Mus musculus: one gene and its partner. The protein of the gene in region 1 interacts with the protein of each later gene in a biochemical or structural test. Links are inferred from orthologs where the notes say so. Each region holds a gene or a part of one and is shown on either strand. Other genes may lie near its edges.

Region 1 (3,567 bases):
GTGAAGTGGGAGGATCGATTGAGCTCAGCCAAGGCCCAAGGAACATAGATCTTTGAAAGTAAAACCAAAACCAAACTTGATCAGATGGACACAGGCTGGGGGTCTGTCATGCAGTGAATGTCCAGGCTGAGCAAAGCCTGTGTTCCCATCTTCATGACAAGATAACTTTCCATTGTTACCTTTGGAGGACGCTAGGTTATCTAGAGGCCTACCATTTCTTCCTGGAAACGTAAGCAAGGGAGAGAATCAGTCATCCACTCGCTCTCCTCTGTGTAAGCTTATCACAGAGTAAGCTCAAGGTGCTGGGCAGCAGTTCTTGTGTGCACGCGTGTGTGGGTCTGTATGTCTTCTTACCGTTTTTGTTTTGAGATAAGGTCTCATTATGTAGCCCAGGCTAGCTTCAAAGTCCTCATGTAACCCACGCCGGCCTTCGGTTTACAGCAGTGGGATAGTAGGCTCGAACACAGCACTCAGCAGGTCCTTTCTAAAAAATCTTATTAATGATTGTACAACATTAACACTTGGCAGTCTCTTTGAGCATCAGCCTTAGACACCATCCTGAATGCCTGCAAGGACTACGGAAGGAGCCTGATAGAACACGTTGTATGGGCAGGCCAGCCTGATGACCTCAGAACCTGCCAGTTCAAGAAAGACAGGCAGACAGGCCCCCACTTCCCCTTTCCTTTTGAGACAGGGTCTTACTATGTAACCCGGGCTGGCCTGGAACTCAATGTGCTTCGGCTGCCCCAGTGGATCTGAAGTGTGGGTACCACACCCAGCAGACTTCACTGCATTCTTTGGGAGGCACAGGACTCCACCCTGGGTGAACATTTTCACGTTGAATCTGAGCCTACTGAGCCTCTAGAACAAATCTGGGAAAACAAAAACGGTGCTGAGCTGGGCACAGGCTAAGCAAGACCACAGGGAAACGAGCAGACTGCTAGCCCTCAAAGAATGTGGGAAAATACTTTAGACAAATGACCCAATTAAAACAAAACCAAAACCAAAACCAACCAACCAAACAAACAAAAAAACCCCAACCACCCAACCAACAAACAGAAACCAGGAATGACTGGGCAAAGGGAGAGGAATACTGTGGATTGAGAGACCCGAGAGACACTTTAATCAGAAGGCAGTCTGAAAGAGCATGATGCTAATATTCCCCTGTTGTCCCCATTCCTGCCATACTAAAGACATACGACCTTCAGATCCCTTTGATGTCATCTGTAAACTTCTGACCCCTGCTGCTGCGGGTTACCCACAAACCTTTTCGGCAGAATAACTCCTCTTTGGCTGAGCCTGGCTCTGGGCTCCCTCTGGAGAGGGTGGAAGGGTGGGTACCACCGTCAAAGCGTTTTCATCTCACCCTGTCTCCCCTCAGCATATTCTCAGCACCTGGACAATGAGATCAGTCATAGCAGCTACTTGGGCACCGACTACCCCACAGCCATGACCCCCACTTCCCCTCGGCGCTACTCCCCCGTGGCCAAGGACCTGCTAGGGGAGGAAGATATTCCCCGGGAACCAAGGCGGATCGTGATCCATCGGGGCTCCACCGGCCTGGGCTTCAACATTGTGGGCGGCGAGGACGGTGAAGGCATCTTCATCTCCTTCATCCTTGCTGGGGGTCCAGCTGACCTCAGTGGGGAGCTACGGAAGGGGGACCAGATCCTGTCGGTGAGAGAGGCCCGTGCAAGGGTCTGCACTGCCCACCAAAGAGAGTCCTGTGCTCTTGGGGAGGGGCTCAATGGGCTCAAGCCAGGTCCGGTTGGACCACTCCCTGACTCACTGAGTCCCAAATTGTCTTCCCATCCCAGGTGACAGTGTCTTCTCCCTTTCTAGGTCAATGGTGTTGACCTCCGCAATGCCAGTCATGAACAGGCTGCCATTGCCCTGAAGAACGCGGGTCAGACGGTCACGATCATCGCTCAGTATAAACCAGAAGGTACCACGCCTAAGCTTCCCTGTCTTGTTGGCTAAGGTGGTCCTCAGCATTGTCTTTAGCTGATGGACGGACAGGTGGTCTCAGTAGGGGTAGGGTGAGGTTTGGCGGGGTGTGGCATTAGGATGGGGCAGAGTTCCAGAACCTTCTTGTCCTTTCTCAGAGTATAGCCGATTCGAGGCCAAGATCCATGATCTTCGGGAACAGCTTATGAATAGTAGCCTGGGCTCAGGGACTGCATCTCTGCGAAGCAACCCCAAGCGGGGCTTCTATATCAGGTAAGAAGCGTCCTTGGCGTGGCTCTGGAGGCCTCCATGAACTCCTGCCCATCCCCCACACAGCTCCTTCCCTAAATCTTGCCCTTCTCCTCTCCCACCCAGACGTGAGTGACCCTTAGCCATGGGTTCATAGACTTGGCTGCACACACTGGTCTTCTGGAGTATATTATCTGGTTGAAATTTAGTGCCTGCCCCAAGTGTTTGAATTGCCTTCTAGGTCCCGGTCACACAAGCACTAACCAATGGCTCTCAATGGTAGGGCCTAAGGCCAGTGTGTGACACAGCAGGCGTCTCTAGCTCTCTCTCTCTCCCTCCCTCCTCTCCTCCCTCCCTCCCTCCCTCCCTCCCTCCCTCCCTCCCTCCCTCCCTCCCTCCCTCCCTCCCTCCCTTATCCCCTAGGCTGAGTTTGAACCCCTGTGCTTTAATAATCTTCCTGCCATAGATACAGGCACTTGTCACCATGCCCAGCTTTGGGATATTTTGAGTCTTCCTCCAGCTTGGCACCCTTGTGGGAAGCCTCTGCGGAAGGACTGCAGCTCCTCTGTGCCCGCCGCCTGTCTTTCTTACTTCTTGCCCTTCCTTCCATCTCTGTGCTAGGGATTGAATCCAGGGCTCCGTACATGTTAGGCAGGCACCAAAACCACCGTTGAAAATCCACCTCAGCTCACCTCCCGACTGCTCAGTAGCATTTTCTCCCTTCTCGGGGCCTCTTTTCTCATGAGTCCCCTTCCTGTCTCTTCACAAGGCGTTGAGGTCTCGTCCCTCCCCTTCCCTGTCTCTCCCCTCCATCTGCTTTCTTTGTTCAGGTGGCTGGTCTTATCTGCCCTCTGCTATACTGGTGTCCCTGAGAGCTGTGTGGCCTGGTGGGATGCCTTCTTGGAGGTTCCAACCATTCTGGATGTTGCCTTTAGGCCATCTCCATTGGGTTGTCCACAGGCTTGTCACAGCCAACATGTCTTAGACTCAGCTTGCTGTGTTTCTCCTGGATGCCTGTGTTATGTCTTAGGGACCCACACCTAAGCGCTCCCTCTCTGTGGGAGGCTAGCAGGTGCTGGGGGTCATTTAGTTCTCACTGCATGACTCGGGGGCTTTTCTCCCCAGCCCCACTGCTTTTCTCTGCACCTTTGTTCTTTCAGAAACTTCCCAGAGCTTTTTGTCCTTAGACAGGTCTGGGATTGCTTACCGTGTGTGTGTGTGTGTGTGTGTGTGTGTGTGTGTGTGTGTGTGTGTGTGTGTGTGGGTGTGTGGGTGTGTGGGTGTGTGGGTGTGCATGTGTGTGTGTGTGCCACCCGGGAGGTTCATACTTTGCTTGCAGATCCCGTGTGTGTGTGTGTGTGTGTGTGTGTG
Region 2 (4,219 bases), on another chromosome or scaffold:
TTTCATTAGAGCACCAACCTCATGCACTTGCTAAAACTGCCATTCAGTCAGGTACTATCATTTTCAACCCACAATATAGCATAAAAGTCTCATGCAGAAGCCATGGAGTTTTTCTCACGCCCAGCAGCTGCTCTCTGGAGGCACACACAGGCACACAGTGTTGTCAACTCGTCTGTAAGAATCATGGTTAAAACTGAAACACTAGACTCAAGGAAAGGAAAGGAAAGGAAAGGAAAGGAAAGGAAAGGAAAGGAAAGGAAAGGAAAGGAAAGGAAAGGAAAGGAAAGGAAAGGGGAAAGTACACCTCCTTCATCTAAGGCATGCTTCTGAAAGAAATTTTACATTGATATAATGCAAGGGCTCCAAGAGTGTGCTCAAAGCGCTCCTGTAAAGTTGCCTGAATGTGAATAAAGGTGAAACTACAGCAGTGTTGGCAAAGGAATCGCAGCGTTCCCTTAAGCCAAGCAGAGTAGCCTCCGGCGGTGCTTTTCCCACGCTCGCTTGTTATTAGTAAAATTACAGTCCTTCTATATTCCAACAACTAATTCCAAGCATAGCCCATCTTCATTCAAGCTTTGGACCTTGTAACCCACAGACCAGTACGGATACTATTCAACATTAACAATGGATTCTGCTTGGCACAGAGAATCACTAAAGGAAGAGGCATCTGGCTGTTGAAAGCAGCTATTCCATACACGAGGATTCTTGCCTCTATTGGCCATACCTCCCATATATCAGATCCCCCAAATCATGCACTGTTCTACGTTGGCAATCCAAAAGGAGTCATATCAAACAATCTTCCACTGGATTTTAGTAGCGGGGCTGGGGAGCCTTCCAATTATGTTGATACATGCTCACCAGCGGGCACATCAACTGAACTACCACCAGTGGAAGTGTGCAAAATGAGGTAACTCATGGGCAGGGGCAACACCTCCCCATTTTCATGGAAGTCAATGCAGAAAATTCTCGGCGTCTTAAATATCAGTCACACAGTTCCTAAAAGTGAACTGTCCGTCATGCTTATCGGGCCTGATTTTTGCTCATTACATATCTCTTTTCTAAGCCAACATATCTCTTAGAGAACATTAGGCATGCATACGTATACAGCCTTGCAGAGTTGAAGCACAGCAGATCAGTTCAAATGAGGGAAATACAAACCCCTTGCAAGCACAGCCTCCCCCTCTATTATCCTCTTCTTCCACACCCTTCATTACCCCGGTGTTTACAGTGAAAACGCAACTTTGGGTATTTGAGAAATAAGTGGCTCCTTGTGGAAAATACAGAGATGCACATCCCTCTAAGCCCCCAAGTCTGTTTTCCGACCCCCACCCTCCGACCGAGGAGGTTGCACCTCCTTCCTAGAGACTTTACTCTGAACAGAGTGGCTCAACATGCTGAGTATCAATCGATGAAAACACATTACACACAAGAAGAAGAGGAAGGGGGGAGCGAAACGCAGCTTTGCTTTCAGCCATTAATTACGAATCACCCAAATATCGCTACGCCTATCTCCCATGCACAAGCACCCTTGCCAAACCTGGCTGTCAGGCAGCGCTTTCCAGAGCCTCGCTATCTATTGTCAGGACAGAGAAGCCCCCGGAAGCCTGTGAATCCCTCTGAAAATGCTTCCTCGGAAACGCTAAATATAGACCAAAGGGGTCTGGGTCTGGCGAGCAGCGGGAGACTGAAGAAACGGCCATGGACGCATATGACTAAGTCTTTCCATTTTGTTCTAGCCAAACATCGTAATGACATTGAACATAAGGGCAAAAGACTGGAAGGAAGTCTTCCCCGCCCCCACCCCGTCTTCTCCGGTATATTAGGGACGTCATGAATGCAACCGGGTTGCTCTGGAGGGTGGCGGGGAGCAGTCGGTGTTGCCCTATATACGCGTCCTCCGAGGTAGAGGGGTGGCAGGGAGGGGAGCACGCGGAGAAGCCACTTGGTAACCGCTCCAAGAAAGACACTGACCCCGGACCCCGTTGCGGGGAGAGCCGCCTTCCAAGAGGGGAGCCGGTAGGATCGCGGTCCTCCCCCGGGGCAGACAGCACCCCACTGCCGCCCGCCGCCACCCCTAGCCCCGCTGGAAGCGGAGGACCAACCCCCACCGGCGGTGAGCAAGAGGACGACGCCCGGAGGATGCGCCCGGCTCCAGCAGCTCAGCTAAGGCAACTCACCGAACGGCGCGGCGCCCGACTGCTTCCTGGCGAACATGCACCCGCCGCCAAAGACAGCTCCTCAGTCGGGGGAAAGGCGTGCGCGCCGCCGCCCGGCTTCAGAGCAAGGTCCTGACCTTGCCCAGCTGCAGCATCCTCCGCTTTTGTTGTCGGAGCGCGGCCGCGGGACAAGTGATGCTGGCGGGGAGCAGGGGCGAGCGCGGCAGGCGAGAGGCGGCTCCCGACGCGAGTGCGCAGCGCCCGGCCCGGCCGCCCCTCCGAGCGCGGCGAGCGTAGCGCCCCCTGCCCGACTCGGCGGGCGCCGCGGGATGCTCAGGGTTCCGCGGGGCTCCCCGGGCTCGGGCCGGGCTACCGAGCCGCCGCGCCCGCCGCTCCGCTCGGCCGGTTGCCGCCGCGGGCGCGAGCCTGGGCCGCCCTGGCGCCCGGCGCCGAGCGCTCTCGAGCTGCGCCCTGCGCGCCGCCCGCGCCACCTGTGTCGCCGCCGCCGCCGCCGCCGCCGAGAGCGAGGCTCCTCCCGCCGCGCGCCGCAGCTCAGCCTCCGGCTCAGCCGCGGCGGCCGGCTCCGGCGCTTGGCTAGTGAGCGAGCGAGCGTCCGCCCCACCACCGAAACCTGCCCCGGGTGCGGAGCATGCCCAGTGCCGCCGAGAGAGCGCGGCGCCTCGCCACGCGAATTCCACTTCTGGTTTTCGCGGCGGCAGCAACAGCAGCAGAGATGGGAGGAGGCGGCTCAGGTTGGGAGAGGGCCGCGCATCCCCGGGAACAGACAGCACCCGAGATAGAGCCTACGCGGAGAGTTGATTCTGCGGGGCAGATGTTGGTCTGCAAAGGGGCAGCGATTGAGGGGTTTTAGAGTAGCTTGTGAGTTAAGGAGAGCACCGGGCCAGCCATGAAAGCTAGTGGATGGGGGTGGATGTTCTTGTAGATTCTAGGGTTCCAAAGCAAAGAACGCATGACGTCTGTGAAAGGTTCTTTCGTAGTGTTGGGGCCCCATCTCCACCACCTCCTGCTCTGATTATGCTTTATGCAAACTCAGTCTGGTTTTAAAATCTGGAATATGAGTAAACTTCCTACAAGGAAGACCCTTGCTGGATCTAGAGCTTTAATGAATTCTCTTCGTCTTCCTGTCACGTCTCACCCAGTTGTCTTCTTGGACACCTCCACGACTGTTTTCCTCTTCTCTTCCATTGTCCCGTGCTAAAATGAAAACTTTGCTCCTCCTCCACTGACCGCGGTGGAGTCTGTGAAGCTTGCTCCATTTCCAACTGAGATTTCCGAATGTCTCTCAGTTAGTCAGTCATTAGGCAACACAGAGTGCTAAATCTAGCAAGCAAAGTCACACTATGAAAAGTCTTGTTGGAAAACGAAACCCATGCCAAGTTCCAAGGCAGGCAGGCCCTCAGGACCTTCATCTATGTCCCTGTGTGGCTGCAAAGTCTGTCAGTCACATGCAGGACAAATACGTCCCATAATTATTCCACCAAAGATCCTTACTTTGAAGCCAGCCCACCCCACCCTACTCTTTCCCAGAGCCATTTTCTGAGACACAGATAAATGGACCAGGAACCCCGAACTTGTAATAAGAGGGGTTCCAGCTTCAGTAATCTCAGGGACATTTCTATTCAGTTTGCAAGAGATTATCCAACAAGGTCAAAATGCTTGCATTAAATCTGAGATAGCCTCTATTATTCTCTGGAGTTAGTGAAAGGCTGAGGCAAGTGGAAAGAAAAGTTAAGCAGACTAAATATGTAAAGGAACAGACAAGAGATTGAGTAATGACTGTTCACAACAGGGAAATGTGCACCGTCAGTCATTCCATCTACCTCTAGTAGGCTCAGTCTCACTCCCAAAAGTTGTTCTCCAGTGTAGGTTCTCCTTCGAAGCTGGTGTGACATTAACATAGCCTGATTCCTGTGAGGGAAGATATGTGGTCATTTGCAGGTTTGGTTTTTTGTTTTTTTGTTTTTTTGTTTTTTTTTTTCCCACATCAGCTTCAGTTGAATCTGGAATTTGGGGCTTGTAAGGCACACCAGCTGTCACATCTC

The links. The genes of interacting proteins can lie anywhere in the genome.
Region 2: the proteins of Dlg4 (region 1) and Ctnnd2 interact in a test that uses a peptide from one of them, tested with the Homo sapiens proteins (2 studies listed by IntAct, with this or other methods). The link is inferred for Mus musculus from reciprocal best matches to the Homo sapiens genes DLG4 and CTNND2.

Annotation. Positions count from the first base shown.
Region 1 is NC_000077.6:70,037,642-70,041,208, forward strand, and holds part of Dlg4 (disks large homolog 4 isoform 6 precursor), read left to right. Parts: intron 1-1,381; coding exon 1,382-1,677; intron 1,678-1,842; coding exon 1,843-1,945; intron 1,946-2,105; coding exon 2,106-2,220; intron 2,221-3,567. UniProt on the Homo sapiens protein: Postsynaptic scaffolding protein that plays a critical role in synaptogenesis and synaptic plasticity by providing a platform for the postsynaptic clustering of crucial synaptic proteins.
Region 2 is NC_000081.6:30,171,122-30,175,340, reverse strand, and holds the start of Ctnnd2 (catenin delta-2), read right to left. Parts: upstream 2,808-4,219; 5' UTR 2,215-2,807; coding exon 2,178-2,214; intron 2,172-2,177; exon of another isoform or gene 1,538-2,171; intron 1-1,537. UniProt on the Homo sapiens protein: Has a critical role in neuronal development, particularly in the formation and/or maintenance of dendritic spines and synapses. Involved in the regulation of Wnt signaling.